3 linked regions of the Caenorhabditis elegans genome follow. Changing the gene in region 3 together with the main gene of any one other region gives a genetic interaction. Each region holds a gene or a part of one and is shown on either strand. Other genes may lie near its edges.

Region 1 (4,679 bases), on a different chromosome or scaffold from region 3:
TAATAGTACATTTTCTGTTAGTTAAGGCAATTTTTTTTTGAAAAATACATTTTCCAATATATCAGAAATCTGCAATTACAACAAAAAAGTCAGTAATTTTATTTTTGAGAAGAAAAACTCACAATTTAACAAACAGCTCTTGAACTTCGGTTCTCGGACAAATCTTGTTATAGAGCCTCTGGAATTTTTCAAAGGTGAGGATGTCGACGTCAAGTTCTTCGCGCTCCTGAAACATACCATTTATTTGAAAATTTTAGACTTAAAAAAAAACTTTTTTCACTTTTTTTCAAGATAGAAAGTCTACATGCAAAAAAGATCATTCACGATAAATAAAAAATTCTGAAAAAAAACCCAGCTTCACAACATGTCAAACCTTTCGTTTTCGTCCCCGACTGCACTTGTAGAAATTCCGAAACTTCTTGCCCATCGATCGATTGATGACCCGTGCCGGCGTGTACTAAATGAAAGGAGACCAGTACATACAACAAACACCACACAGAAATGTATACAAAATTCAAGAAATATACGTTCTTTTGGAAAATTGGAAAATTACTATAACATGCCGTTTGTGTGCCATGCACTGAAGTGGAAAATTTGCGGAGAAAACCTATCAAAAATTAAATCGGAAAAAATGAGGATAGAGAAATATTCAGAGCACAGCACAACAGGCATACATAATAATTTTTTTTGTTCTAAATTACATTTTTTTAAACAAAACTCATACCTTATCGCCTCCAAGACCCAAGTCATTTAGACACTTTTGAACCATTTTTTCAGGTTTTCCAGACGAAAATGTTTTGATTATCAACTTGATCGGGATTTTTCGTCGTTCGTTGACATTCATGGTGAGCCATGTATGGCTGAAATATTCGATGTTTAGGTGATTTTTTTGAGAAAATCAAGTAAGTAGCAGCCGACACTTCATGGGTAGCAGCCGATATTTCATGGGTAACAGTCAATATTTTATGGGTAGCAGCCGACACCTCACCGGTAGCAGACGACACCTTGTGGGTGCCAGATAACGCCTCAGAAGTGGCGGCCGACACCTTATGCAATACTATTTAAGAGTTCAGGTTGTGTACCAATTTTTTGAATATTTTTGAATAGTTTTCAGTAGAATCAAAATGTCTATTTTCAAATGTAAATAAAATTAATAACTCACTATTTCATCAATTGGGTAGTTGGACACACGTGTCGTATTCTGGACGACTTTAGAATATCATTAATGCCCGCTCTACACGTTTTTGCCAACTCGACACTTTCGGCGACAAGAAAAAACGACTGAACATTGACTAAATCCTGGCCATGCGTGATCCATATCGTGCGTTCAGCTATCGTTTCGCTGGCTCCGCGCTGCTCCAATTCGAACATAATTCGGCCGTCTTTGGGTAGGCCGCCCGTGCGAGCTTCCCATATTTGGCCCATATCGAGTACGACAGCATCTTTTCCTTCGATCAGCCACCGGAGAAAGAAACCGTTCTCGTCAATTCGAACTTGAGCATTTAGTTCCAGACACGTACTTTCCTGTAATAAGTGAATTTGTGAGAAAAATTGTGAATTTTATGAGTTTGTCCAATTGTAAATTTTTCAGGGAAATTTTAACTTTTTGATAACTTTCGGCATATTTTAAAGCTATTTTTTCTGAAAAAAAGTATAATAATTTTTTGAGAAACAGAAAATTTTCAGGTGTTTTATATACCTTTTTTTTTGAAAATTGAAGTTTCTCTGCAAAGAAATCAAATAATTGAAAATATTGTAGCAAATTTTATTTCCAGAAAAAGAAAATTTCAATTCATTTTCAATAATTTCAATATAGCAATTTTCTTATCAAAGTTCTCTTCCGAAATATTGAAATTACCTAAATTGTTCACTGACACGTGGAAATGTTGTTTTTTCATGCAATCAGCTAAAAAAGTAGCCATATCTATCTATCTCTAAATGTCTCTTTTTTTAATTCTTACGTCCAGTTGTTATCAGTGAATCGGGAGCAACAAGCAACTCTTGTAATGCTCTTTATTCTTCTTATCAAACAAAGAAACCTAAATTCTAGTCAAAAACGCATCATCACTGATTGGAAGAAATGGGATTAGTATTCAGGAAAATTGCTGGCTTGTTTCCTTTTTTAGTTAAAAAATGAAGTATCGTCAGTAGGGAAATTGTTTAAGACGTCCATGGGGCAGTTTCAGGGCATCACGCCGGGTCTCATTGCTGCACTATGGCGATAAGTCAAAAGCTTGGTATCTATACCATATAGTGCGAAAGCCGGTTTGTTCGTTGCGGCCGACATTTTTTGGATTCTGCGCCGCAGGCGTTTGCATGGAACCCCTACTTATAGGACGGAGTCGACTATGCAATATAAAAATTGAAAATTTACAACTTTGTTGGTTTTCAGCTAAACTTTTCAAAAAACGATCAAATTTTTATTTTTTACATTCAAAAAGTGGTAAAAACTCAGTTTTCTCCTATGAGACGGAGATTTCAAAAAAAGTTAGTTTCCAGCCGCTCCGACATTGACAAGTCGTTTTTTTTAATCTAATTTTTGTCATTTTTTGAGGCGCCATAATTTTTTTTTCCGAGAAGTTTCAAAGAAGTTTCATTATGAAATTCGATGTTTTCAGACAATTTTGGATCACTAAAAAAAGGAATAAACAATTTGACTCCACGACCCTTTAAGCGATTTTAAGAATAATAAAATGATCAACATCGCATTCGTGCAGTTCTTGTTTTTTTTTTCGTTACTCGGATTTTTCAAAGGGACAATTAAAAGAGAGCTTATCAGTTTTCATGTATCTATTCGTAGAGCATATCCAATTTTCAATAATTGCCGAGTACGGCAAACTCGACAATCTCTTTTTATTATTTTTTTAATTTGCCCTTCTCTGCAAATTTGCCGCACACCTCTACATCAGGTCTTTAAAAAAAGCTCACATCATCATATCGATCGAAAACCGATCCATGAAGAAGTTCAGGGATAATAGTGGGCTTCCAATTGAACTGGAACTCCTTTGCCATCTCTTCTTGCCGGTTACCAGGAAAAAATAAAGTCTTCAACTACAATAATTCTCCTTCTTCTGAAATATTCAGAAGATGCGAAGAAGGCGACGCGACGACGTTGCGCCGTCGTCTTTCCCTGCCACGTGGCTCTCCTCCGTGTGTGTTGAGCCGATATAGAGTACGTGTGGAGAGGGGTCTGGCTGAAAAACGTTTTTTTACAAGATTTTCAGGTGAAAAATAAAATGAGAAAATTTATGAGTCATTGTAAGGTAAGAGAGATAAACCGTCAACACATTTTGCTCATTTCATAGAAAATTTCCACATTTATTCCAACTTTTATCATGCCTGTATGTCAAAAAAACTATTAGGTCAAGGAATAAGTTTTGTCGTTTTTTCTCAGTTTTGATTTTTTCTCAAATGTTTTTTTGTAGTTATATAGAAGACTGTTAGCAATGACAAGTTTATCAATATCAGTCAAATCAGGCGCCTTTAATAATATTTCCAGCTCAAAACTGTGACAACGAAAAAAAAAATTTTTTTCGATTTTTTTCATTTCTTTGTGAAACCAAAAAGTTTACATGCCCTGAAGTATTAGACAGTTAGTTAATTACAATCGTGCAATATCAGCTCCAGGCACCCTCTTTTGGTAGCGCTAGATATGTTTGAATTGTCAAAAGTGCTTGCAAAAATGACTTTTTTAACTTTGAGCGGCGCTAACTGGAGGCACGTAAAAGATACAAAAATGTAATCAACTACAACATTAACAAACACATCAATAGCTACATTTTATTAGTTGATCATTTTTTTGTATATGCACTGGTTGCTGAGCTACGATGAGTTTTAGTGGAGCTGGCCCAATTTTTCAAAACTCCTTTCTTTTCACTTTATGACCCGTAACTCCGAAACCAGTTGACCGATCGAAAAATGTTCAACTAACAAAACATTTATCTGTTTATTATAAACATTTTCCAATTTAAAATATTTTAATGTACTTCATTCGGGCAAAGATATGCGTCCTTTAAGAAAACATGTGGAAATTTGTAAAAAATTTCGAAAAAAATTTTGAAAAAAATTGAAAAAAAATTTTTCTTAGATAAACTTCTAAATACTTTTGAATAATAATGTGTACCTGCTAACTAAAAAATTGCATTCATTTTTCCTAGTCAACGCTTCTTTTATGGGGAGAAAAACTCAATTATTGAACAATTTTCCTATTTTTTCAAAACTATGTGTATTACCTTTTTTGATAGCTTTTAACTTTGCAAACATGAGTAACATACAAAATTTACAAATTATTAAATGCTTATAATAAACAGATAAATGTTTTATTAGTTAAACATTTTTCGATCGGTCAACTGGTTTCGGAGTTACGGGCCATATAGTGAAAAGAAAGGAGTTTTGAAAAATTGGACCAGCTCCACTAAAACTCATCGTAGCTCAGCAACCAGTGCATATACAAAAAAGTGGTCAACTAATCAAATGTAGTTATTGATGTGCTTGTTAATATTGTAATTGATTACATTTTTGTATCTTTCACGTACCTCAAGTTAGCGCCGCTCAAAGTTAAAAAAGTCATTTTTGCAAGCACTTTTGACAATTCAAACATATCTAGCGCTACCAAAAGAGGGTGCCTGGAGCTGATATTGCACGATTGTAATTAACTAACTGTCTAATACTTCAGGGTA
Region 2 (2,776 bases), on a different chromosome or scaffold from region 3:
TATTTTACATTTATGAATAGAACAATAACCTTTAACAAGATTAACATTCTGCATTTGTTGTCATTAAGAAAAGATTATAAACAAAGTTATAGGGTTCATAATAAAATAAATAAAAGATTATGAACAATTCTACATTACGGCTTCTTGAGAACTGAAAAGGATAGCCTGGTTTACATCTCAACGGTAGATGGTCCTGGAATAAATATGCTTGTTTTTTTAAACCCGAACGGTAAAACTAACACTGAGTCGGTTGCAATTGGAAATCATTGAAAATTTTAGAAGCTAGGAGTAAAATTAATATGCAAAATTATAATTATAGTGCATCTCTGAGAGCCCATTTTCTCCTGCCGTTTGACCTTACAAATTACCAATAAGTTAATTAAGGCTGTGTTGCGAACTTTCGTGAAGTTTTTTATTAAGTTTTTCTATAGAATTTATAAAACTTTTATACCTATTTGGAAATTTTTATTTCTTCCTGTGTTTAACAAACGGCGATTCCGACAATTTTTCTGGTTAAAAATAATTGTCGTTTATTTAGAAAATCTGTAACAAAATTTAATACTCAATCAGTTGTTTCCTATTTATTCGTTTCATCCAATGTACTTATCATTAGTATATCAACATGAAGCACTACATGTAATCAGATTTATTTGCTAATAATAATAATCCATCAAAAGTCATCGTCACAATATTGTAGGACAGGAAGAGAAAACTCTTGCCATGACACAAATTGCAACGTATATATCTAAACATTTATCTTCAAAATGTTAGGCTTCAGGATCACGTGAAAAGTCTGGAATAGTATGTTAATCTCAAGCTGAAGATGTAAGAAAACTGCAAGAATTTTAAATGCAAAAAAATTATTACTTAAACTTTCTCATTTCTGAAAGAATTTGGAAGACGTTGACTAATTGTAAGTATACAGAAAATTTGAAAAGCTACAATAGGATAAAACTACAATGTCAGTCATCTTTTCTCCATAAATAGTTTTTAAAAATCTAATTTTCGTATTTTCTGGAACGAATTTGTTTTAGAAAAACGTTTTTAAAAAATTAGTCTCTAATTTTTCTATATCACAGCGGCCGGAATCTAATTTTTCTTAACAACTCTGCAATTATTGTCAAATAATAAATTTCTCACTTACTTTAGACACAATCGTCAGTAGGGAAAAAACATAAAAAAGTTATTGTTTGCATTTTTGATGCAAGCTGCCTTACTTTTGAAAAATGGAGTTGGACTTTAAGAAAAATACGTTTTAATTAATTTTTTTCATTAAACTGATGCGTTTGGTGTAGCCTCCAGAATGACTTCCTAATGGTTTGCAAACTAAAAATCAGACTTTGTTTTGAGATTTTTAAAATTTTTTTTAAATTTTCCATTAAAGTTTTGTTAAACTGTCAAATTCCCAAAAAAATTGAATTTTTGAATAATTTCGAAAATTTCTGCAGGTTCGAACTACCATGTTCCTATTCAAACAATTGGAATACAATTAGAGTATAACAATTTTTGGTCGATTTCCAAATTATTATTGAAGAGTTTTCATTACTTTTTGACTGCAAACCCTTTAAGATGAGCTATATTAAAATTTTTATTTGTTTTGAAACCCACGTATTCAAATGTCGAGCTCATTTAAACCAACTGAACTATTACATATTTTATTATTAAATTTGATGTTACAATTTTCGGCATTTACAAAAACTATATGTTCGTTTTGTTTAGTACACATATTCTTCTCATCTCCCCAGATTAGAATTGCTCAGAACAAAAAACAAACTTTCTTGCAAAAGTAGGAGGAGTCAATTGTTTGAAACCCGAGGCTCCGCCCATGTGAAACTATAAAAGAGTCTTTGATATCCTAGTACAACTAACCAACAAAAATGCACACTACAACTATTCTCATATGCTTTTTCATCTTTCTTGTTCAAGTCTCCACAATGGATGCTCACACTGACAAATACGTCAGAACTCTGTGTGGAAAAACTGCAATCAGAAATATTGCCAACCTTTGCCCGCCAAAGCCAGAAATGAAGGGTATCTGTTCTACCGGAGGTGAGATAAACTTAAACTCAAAAGCCTTGTTTGCAAATAATTATTTTTCTAAATTTTCAGAGTATCCAAGCATCACCGAATACTGTTCCATGGGATTTTCAGACTCTCAGATCAAGTTTATGTGCTGTGATAACCAATGAATGGAGCTTCTCAAATTCAATACATTACATTATTTTTCAATGAATCATATAAAGATAAAGATTGTTCACGTGTTATTGTTGTAAAAGCACAAATTTTTCAGACATAAACCGGAAACTAGAACAATAACATAGCAGCTGATAAACAAGATTGAAATTATTGAGATCTTGTGATCTAGTGGAAAGATCAAAAATCAAAACAGTCTGGAAAAAACACCACTTTCTCACTGACCGTGTCGTTATGTTTTTATAAGAAGCAGCTTAAAGTTGAAGACTTACAGGTGTTAATAATCATACTCGCAAAATTGGAAGTCGTTTTTTTTTTGCAAAAATTTCAGTCAGATTTGGTAAATTGCCAAATTTTCCAAAAATGAGAAATTTTTTGAGTAATTTCGGGTATTGCTACAGGCCTCTAGAATTTTTAAATAAAAACAATTGAAACAGAATTAAAATATTAAACTATGTATTAAACCTCACTAGAAAAAAATGTCGAACTTTTTTTAGATTGTTGAAATTATCTCAAAAAAATTTTTGACAGTGATATTTGGATATTTTTGCACAGTGGTTTTAAACAATATTTCTACAATCGA
Region 3 (6,529 bases):
TTCTTTAATTTAGCAAAACTTCCAAAAAAAAAATTAAAGTAGAACTACAGCATTTAAAATTCAAATTAATTTCAATTTTAGTTGTTTGAATGTTGTGGAGTAACAAATTCATCCGATTGGCTCACATTCACAACAATTCCTGATTCATGTTGCATTGAAGAAATCGAGGGATGTGCTCGAGAGAATGCTCCACTCTTTGAGCCCGGATGCATTCACAGTGTCGAACGTTAGTCTTTTTTTTCCAAGAAGATCAAAGTGTGCTCTGTTGCACTTTCTCAATAGAGCATGATTGGGCTTATCGGAAATTTGATTGTTTTTTTAATTGCAGAATGGGTGCTCAAGAATGGAGCAATGGTCGGCGGAATTTGTGCAGTTTTGGCAGCAATTCAATTGGTCGGAGTCTGTTTCGCTTGTTGTCTTTCAAAATCAATTCTCAAGGATTTCCATGACTTTTATTATTAGTTCATAACCATCCGTTTTTCTTTGCAATCCTTATTTTAGGTTCTTTCAATCGCCGTGTCACAAATTAAACAATAATAATAATGTATAATTTATATATGAATATACGATGAAAAAGAAATTGAGGATGAAGAAAAATAAGCAACCGCATAAATAATGAGTAATAAATTCATAACTCTAAATTCGAGACAAAGACTGGGATGAAAGTGGTTTTACCCTGATTGGAGTGCTCAAAGTGTGAAAAAAAGTGTGTGAACCTTGTGCTGGAGCTGGTGACAACAGAACTTAAGAACATGAATAAACGAGATACATGAAAAATGGCAGCGAGAGAACTGATCTACAGTAACCTGAATTGAAGGGGGTTCTTTTTTGACTTTTCTCAAGCTTCTTTCTGCCCTTTTTGTCAGATTTCAATGTAATTCCACTCAAAAATATCATTTTTCACCATCTTTTCCACTCGTTGTCTCTCTTTTGCTATGTAAGAGCGCATCTTTGGGAGCCGGTTCTTAGAAATGTGCTCGTCGCAACTCAAATCAGGAAGCATTGAGAGACAACGAGTAGACGAGGAGAGTGTAGACACAGAGATGGATCATGCTCTGGGGAATGATTCTGTGAGAGGAAGGGGACCGATGGGCGCCGTCCGATGAGCAAGAGAGAGCATAAGAATAAGTCAGAAAAGTTACAAAGAATGAAGAAAAAGAAACATTTGAGTTGGTTGGGAAAAAAGTGAGAAAAGGAATGAGAATACATATAAATAGGATAAAATGACAAGAAGAGACTATCACCTCATATTAACCTGATCAACATGAGCAGGTACAGTAGGTGACCTCGAAGAGAGTGCCAGGTAAGCCTTGTGATAACTTGAAAGAGTTTTTGAAGAGACAACCCAAATGGCACAGGTTATACCAACAACCAATTGAGACACATATCTGAAAATAAGAACATTTAGGGGTTTCGAATCAAGATAAATAATTCATATTAACTAGACGCGAAATTATGCAGTCTCGGCACGATCCAATTTTGTCGAATATGCGCCTTTAAAGAGTACTGTAACTTCGAAGTCGCGTTGCTGCGGAATTTACATCGATTTTTCATGAATAGTTTTTCTTATGTTAGGCTTTTTGTGTTTGAATTGCTTAATATTTAAATAAGAATATTTTTTATCAAGAAGCGATGAAAATTCTGCAGCAACAAGAGTTTGAAACTACAGTATTCTTTAAAGGCGTATACATTTTTGCATTTAACAAACATTCGTCTTGTCGAAACCGGATGTCGCATTTTTGGCGCAAAAATCAGAAAATCAAATTTAGATTATACAGATTGAAATTTAACTGATTCACAGTTTCAAACTAACTTTAAAAGAAAAACAATAATCTCCGGAGCTGCAACTTTCGGATCCATCGGACAATCATCAACTGGATACGTGAAACCGAATAATTCTCGATCTTGAAGTCGAACACATCGATGATGAAGCCATCCTTCAAGCCAGGCAGGCATATTTACTGCCTGATACCACATAATTGCAGCATTCATTGCAGTTGGTAGAGAGTACATTATGGCGAAGGCACCGATTCTGAAAATATAATATTTGTATGATAATATGAAACGAATATCAGAAAAGCGATTCTTAAGTTTTTCTTATTTTGTTCGGTTCTTAGGAAATCCAATTTTTTCGTTTTTTTTTTCTGAAATTTTGGAATTTTAAATAAAAAATGATTTCCAGGGAATTCTCGGGTTTTAGAATAATTTATCAACTTTCCAAACTGAAATCAATATATCTACATCAGTAAACCTAGTTTGCTCGTCTTTTTCTGTACATGTTTTTCCAATTTTTCGTTTTCCAAAAATCGAAAGTATTTCTTTTCTGATTAAAAAAGCTCAGGTACTTTTGAAGATTTTCAAAAATTTGAAATATCGAACCTCAACATTAATTTCTCCAATTTACTGATATTCCTCTCAACATCGGCGTGTTGAAGTTTAATATAACTTCGAATACGGATCATTGACCAAATTCCACAAACGAGTAAAACTGCTCCGAGTGCTGCAAATAGAACATTTCTGAGAAGAAAACGAAGATAAATAACGATGGAACACACAACGAAACGAATTCAATTTCGGTCTTCCCCCACCATAATATTCACAAAAAAACTAACCCAACGATACAACGATCGGAGTGAAAAAGAAATAGACGAGAGCAGAGGGATTCAAATTTCCAACTGAACAGATTCCAGTAAATACATCTCCATCGACAGAATTTGTCACTAGTACAGTAACCGAGAGAACTGCTGGAACTCCCCAGCACATTGCGTGGAAGTATGGTGACAGAGCAGCAATTGATTCAGCTCCCCATTTCAGATTTGCCGCCAGGAACCAGGCTAGACACAGTACAAGCCACCTGAAAGAATACTTAGTATATAAAATATCATTTTAAAAAGGCTGATAGCTGTTTAAATCAAGATTAAAAATTTGGGTGTCGATTTTCGATTTTTCAATGAAAACAAAAATTTTCGATTTTTGTTTTTTTTTTGTTTGAAGAAAAAATACATTTTTTTCATGAACAAAATTTGATAAAAATTGAATTTTTTTTTTGATTTTCCGATTTTCCGGAAACGGGGTTTTTTTCATTTAAAATTTGGTTTAAAAAAAATATTTTTTAGATTTTTGTTACTGAAAATTGTCGAAAATCATAAATGTAATTTTTTTCTGAAAAATTACACTCGAAATTATAAAAATTAAAATTTTTATCAAAATATTCAAAAAGTTCTTTAAAAAAAAAATGTTTCAGTTGTCGTTTTTTTGTTGAAAAATGTGTTTGAACAAAAGAAAAACATGCCGATTTTTTTTCGAATGCACATTTTCAAAACCAGTTTTCTATTTGTGGTACAAAAAACGGTACTTTTTTCGTTAAAATACAAAAATTAACGAAAAAACTCACCACGCACAACTTGACATGAAGAAAAAGTAATGAACAACAGCAAGAGCACTACATCCAACATTTTCTCCTCCTTGCGTAACAAGTGTTGTTGGAGTAGATCCATACGTTCCACAAGCGAATCCATCTTCACCGACTACGCCTGTAGAAATACATTTTTAGTTTCTAAAAAATCTGATTTAAAAAAAACAGAAAATTCAACTCACCTATCATATAAACCGTAGAAATTGCTAGATAACAGAACGCGAGATACAAAATCGGTCGAACTGGATACGCGAATCGTGATAAATCAACAAGAAATGTGACAAGAGTGAATAAAGAGCACACGAAACATGCCACAGACCATGCTGCTGTCCAGATTCGAAGAATTCGTCGAACACGTCCATCAAACATCATTGGTACTTGATTGTCAGCTTCACATGTTAATGAACATTCAGGAAGGCGTCCACTGAGAAGAGGCAATGAAAAATGAGATCCGCTTGTTGTATGCATATGATGAGGGCATTTTTTTGGAGAAAGGACAACTTCGTTGGCAATTGTTGAAACACCGAATGTGACGTCATTACTACTTCTGTAACTTGAAATATTTTATATTTCGATCTACGGAAACTTGTTTTATTGTTCGATAAAACAAAGAATTTAGAAATCTCGATGTACATTTTTTTCGGAAAATTTCTAAATTCAAAAACTTTGATAAAAAACTATTTGACGCTTTGGAGTAGGAGTTTTTATGGGGCTCAAAAATTCGGAATAATACTTAAATTCAGCCAAACTTGTCAGTATCACAGCGGCCGTAAATTTAATTTTCAGAGAGCTTTTTTTTTTTGAAAACTCTTACGAGGTTCGGTCTTTGCAGGCCATTCTGAATTTATTATTATTTTTCTTTAAATGCAAAACCGATGATTTTAACTGAATTTACAATTTAATTTCTCGCTGTATTTAAAAAAAGGATTCTAGAACGGTTCCCGTAAATTTAAACTTTAATTCATGTTTTGGGTACTTTTGAAATTTTTGTTGTAAATATATATCAATTATAAATTCTTATTCATAAAATTATGCAGAAAACCCACTTTTTAGAGTTGCTCGACTCGCTGGAATTCTTGCCAACACACAAATCAGTTACTGGGAATTTGTTACAATCCAATTGATCTGGCCATTGAAATCCAAACTTTTTCATTAATGACTCGCATCCATTTTTTGCAGATAAACACAATTCTCGACATGGTTGAATTGGTTTTTCGAGTACTGTACAGACAGGTGCATAGACAGTACAAAGAAAGAGACGAATATCTTCTGAGCATTTAACTTTAATTAATGGATTGAATTGCGCAATTGCTGGACCAGCTTCAGATTGTGTTGTATGTCCGAGAAGATTTGGAAATACTGTTTGATTGTAATCCAGATTTTTGCACATTGGAATTGTAATATGTTCACATTTTCGAGTTGTTGAGAATCCATTCATCGATGAAATTGAAGTTGATGAGAGTCGTTGATCAGCTGATAAGCATCCGAATAAAAATAATATCAGAATATGTCGATGCATTGTAATTGATAGTTTTGAAGAGATTTCAGATTGACAAGTGTTAGTTCATAGCAGGATTCGTCTGAAAATATAAAAAATTATTAAAGAAATAGTTTTTTTGGTTATATGTATAGAAGAAGTTCAACATTATTTAGTTAATAGTTTGTGAAATGGAGAGAACAAAATTCTAGAAAAATGATTTTTGGCAAAATTTGGAAAAAAAACCGAACTTAAGTAAATAGCTAAAATCTTTTTCAGAAAAAATCGAAAAAAAATGTTTAGAAAATTAACAAAAAGTGAAATTTTTAATGAGTTGTTGATGTGGATAAACATTTTCAAAAAATTCTTCTAAACGGAGGAAAATGGCCAACAATTTTAGATATTTTACGAAAAATCTTTTTTTTTCTCGAAATATCAGAAAACCAACACAAATACTTTCCGGCAGTTGGCAAAGATGACACATTAAAAATTTTGGCTAAATTTAGGGATTTCTCTTCGAAACATTTTCTATAAACATTTTTTGGAAGGTTTTATTGGAATTCAAAATAGAAGACTCGGTCCATAAATTGACCTTCAATTGATGAGAAAACATTGAATTTTCAAAAAAAGTGAAATGGTGTAATGTTGACATTGGTTCCAAGTGCTAAATCGAATCAATGAATCGTGAAATTATAGTGAGAAACGTGGCAAAGAAAGACAAAGAATAGTAGATTTCGGTATCTAAGTGAATCTAATCTTTAGATTACTGTACAACATGCCTCTAATCTCTTTTTTGTAATACTCTCTCGTTACGCAACTTCCGAGAGAACGGAGCACACACACACAGTAAAGAATAATTACGGCTCGGAATTCGAGAGTAATTAATGATGATGATGAGCACTGACCTAATGAAAAGATCGAAAAAGAGTGAAGAGACACAGGCCACCTGCTGCTCGAGTGTCAAATGGGCAATGAACATGCAAACGGATGAGGGAGGAAGGATTCAAGAATTTTCAAACAGTGATTCATTTCGAAAATATTCTTGTTATTGTTTGGAGAGAATTGAGGAAAATATAGATGAGAATCGAATTGAGAAAAACGGGGACGATCGATCTGTAGAAGAGATAAGAGCAATGACCTAACTGGTAGAATTTTTTGGCATTTCGGAAATTAGTTTTTAGTTTTTAAATATTTAAGTTGAAGAAAGCAAAGAAAACATTTAAAACAAATTGTCTGAAATCAACGATATTCTTAAGCAAAAGGACGCAAAATATTGCACCAAAAATACGGTACCAGGTCTCGACACGATAAAGTTTTGTTTGCGCCTTCAAGGAGTACTGTAACTCGCATTGCTGCGGATTGTTTTGATTTTATATAGGTAAATTCATGGATTTTCATTGTTTTAATCAAGTTATTTAATAAATCAATATTTTCTATCGGAAAACTATAAAAAATCGATGGAAATTCCGCAGCAAAGTTTAAAGTTACAGTACTCTGTCAAGGCGCACAGCTTTCTACATTTATCAAAAATTTGGCGCGTCGAGAGGTACCGTATTTTTTGCTAAAAATCGCAGAATCGAGCCTGAAAATTATATAAATAATTTAATTGTTTTCGAAATTCAAAAAAAGATGCCAGA

What was found.
Region 1: of mom-5 (region 3) and egl-8, changing one enhances a phenotype caused by changing the other (phenotypic enhancement), as found in Caenorhabditis elegans (one large-scale study listed by BioGRID).
Region 2: of mom-5 (region 3) and ins-22, changing one enhances a phenotype caused by changing the other (phenotypic enhancement), as found in Caenorhabditis elegans (one large-scale study listed by BioGRID).

What each region holds. Positions count from the first base shown.
Region 1 is NC_003283.11:19,340-24,018, reverse strand, and holds the start of egl-8 (Phosphoinositide phospholipase C), read right to left. Parts: upstream 3,013-4,679; coding exon 2,929-3,012; intron 1,525-2,928; coding exon 1,163-1,524; intron 861-1,162; coding exon 725-860; intron 458-724; coding exon 374-457; intron 227-373; coding exon 123-226; intron 1-122. UniProt on the Caenorhabditis elegans protein: Mediates the production of the second messenger molecules diacylglycerol (DAG) and inositol 1,4,5-trisphosphate (IP3) which plays an important role in the regulation of intracellular signaling cascades.
Region 2 is NC_003281.10:10,024,423-10,027,198, forward strand, and holds ins-22 (putative insulin-like peptide alpha-type 2), read left to right. Parts: upstream 1-1,866; 5' UTR 1,867-1,877; coding exon 1,878-2,049; intron 2,050-2,109; coding exon 2,110-2,189; 3' UTR 2,190-2,264; downstream 2,265-2,776.
Region 3 is NC_003279.8:9,964,046-9,970,574, reverse strand, and holds mom-5 (Protein mom-5), read right to left. Parts: upstream 4,996-6,529; 5' UTR 4,935-4,995; coding exon 4,462-4,934; intron 3,969-4,461; coding exon 3,598-3,968; intron 3,534-3,597; coding exon 3,395-3,533; intron 2,855-3,394; coding exon 2,613-2,854; intron 2,501-2,612; coding exon 2,380-2,500; intron 2,033-2,379; coding exon 1,814-2,032; intron 1,389-1,813; coding exon 1,241-1,388; 3' UTR 538-1,240; downstream 1-537. Other genes in the region: tsp-7 (Tetraspanin), read left to right, coding at 82-226, 329-462. UniProt on the Caenorhabditis elegans protein: Receptor for Wnt proteins.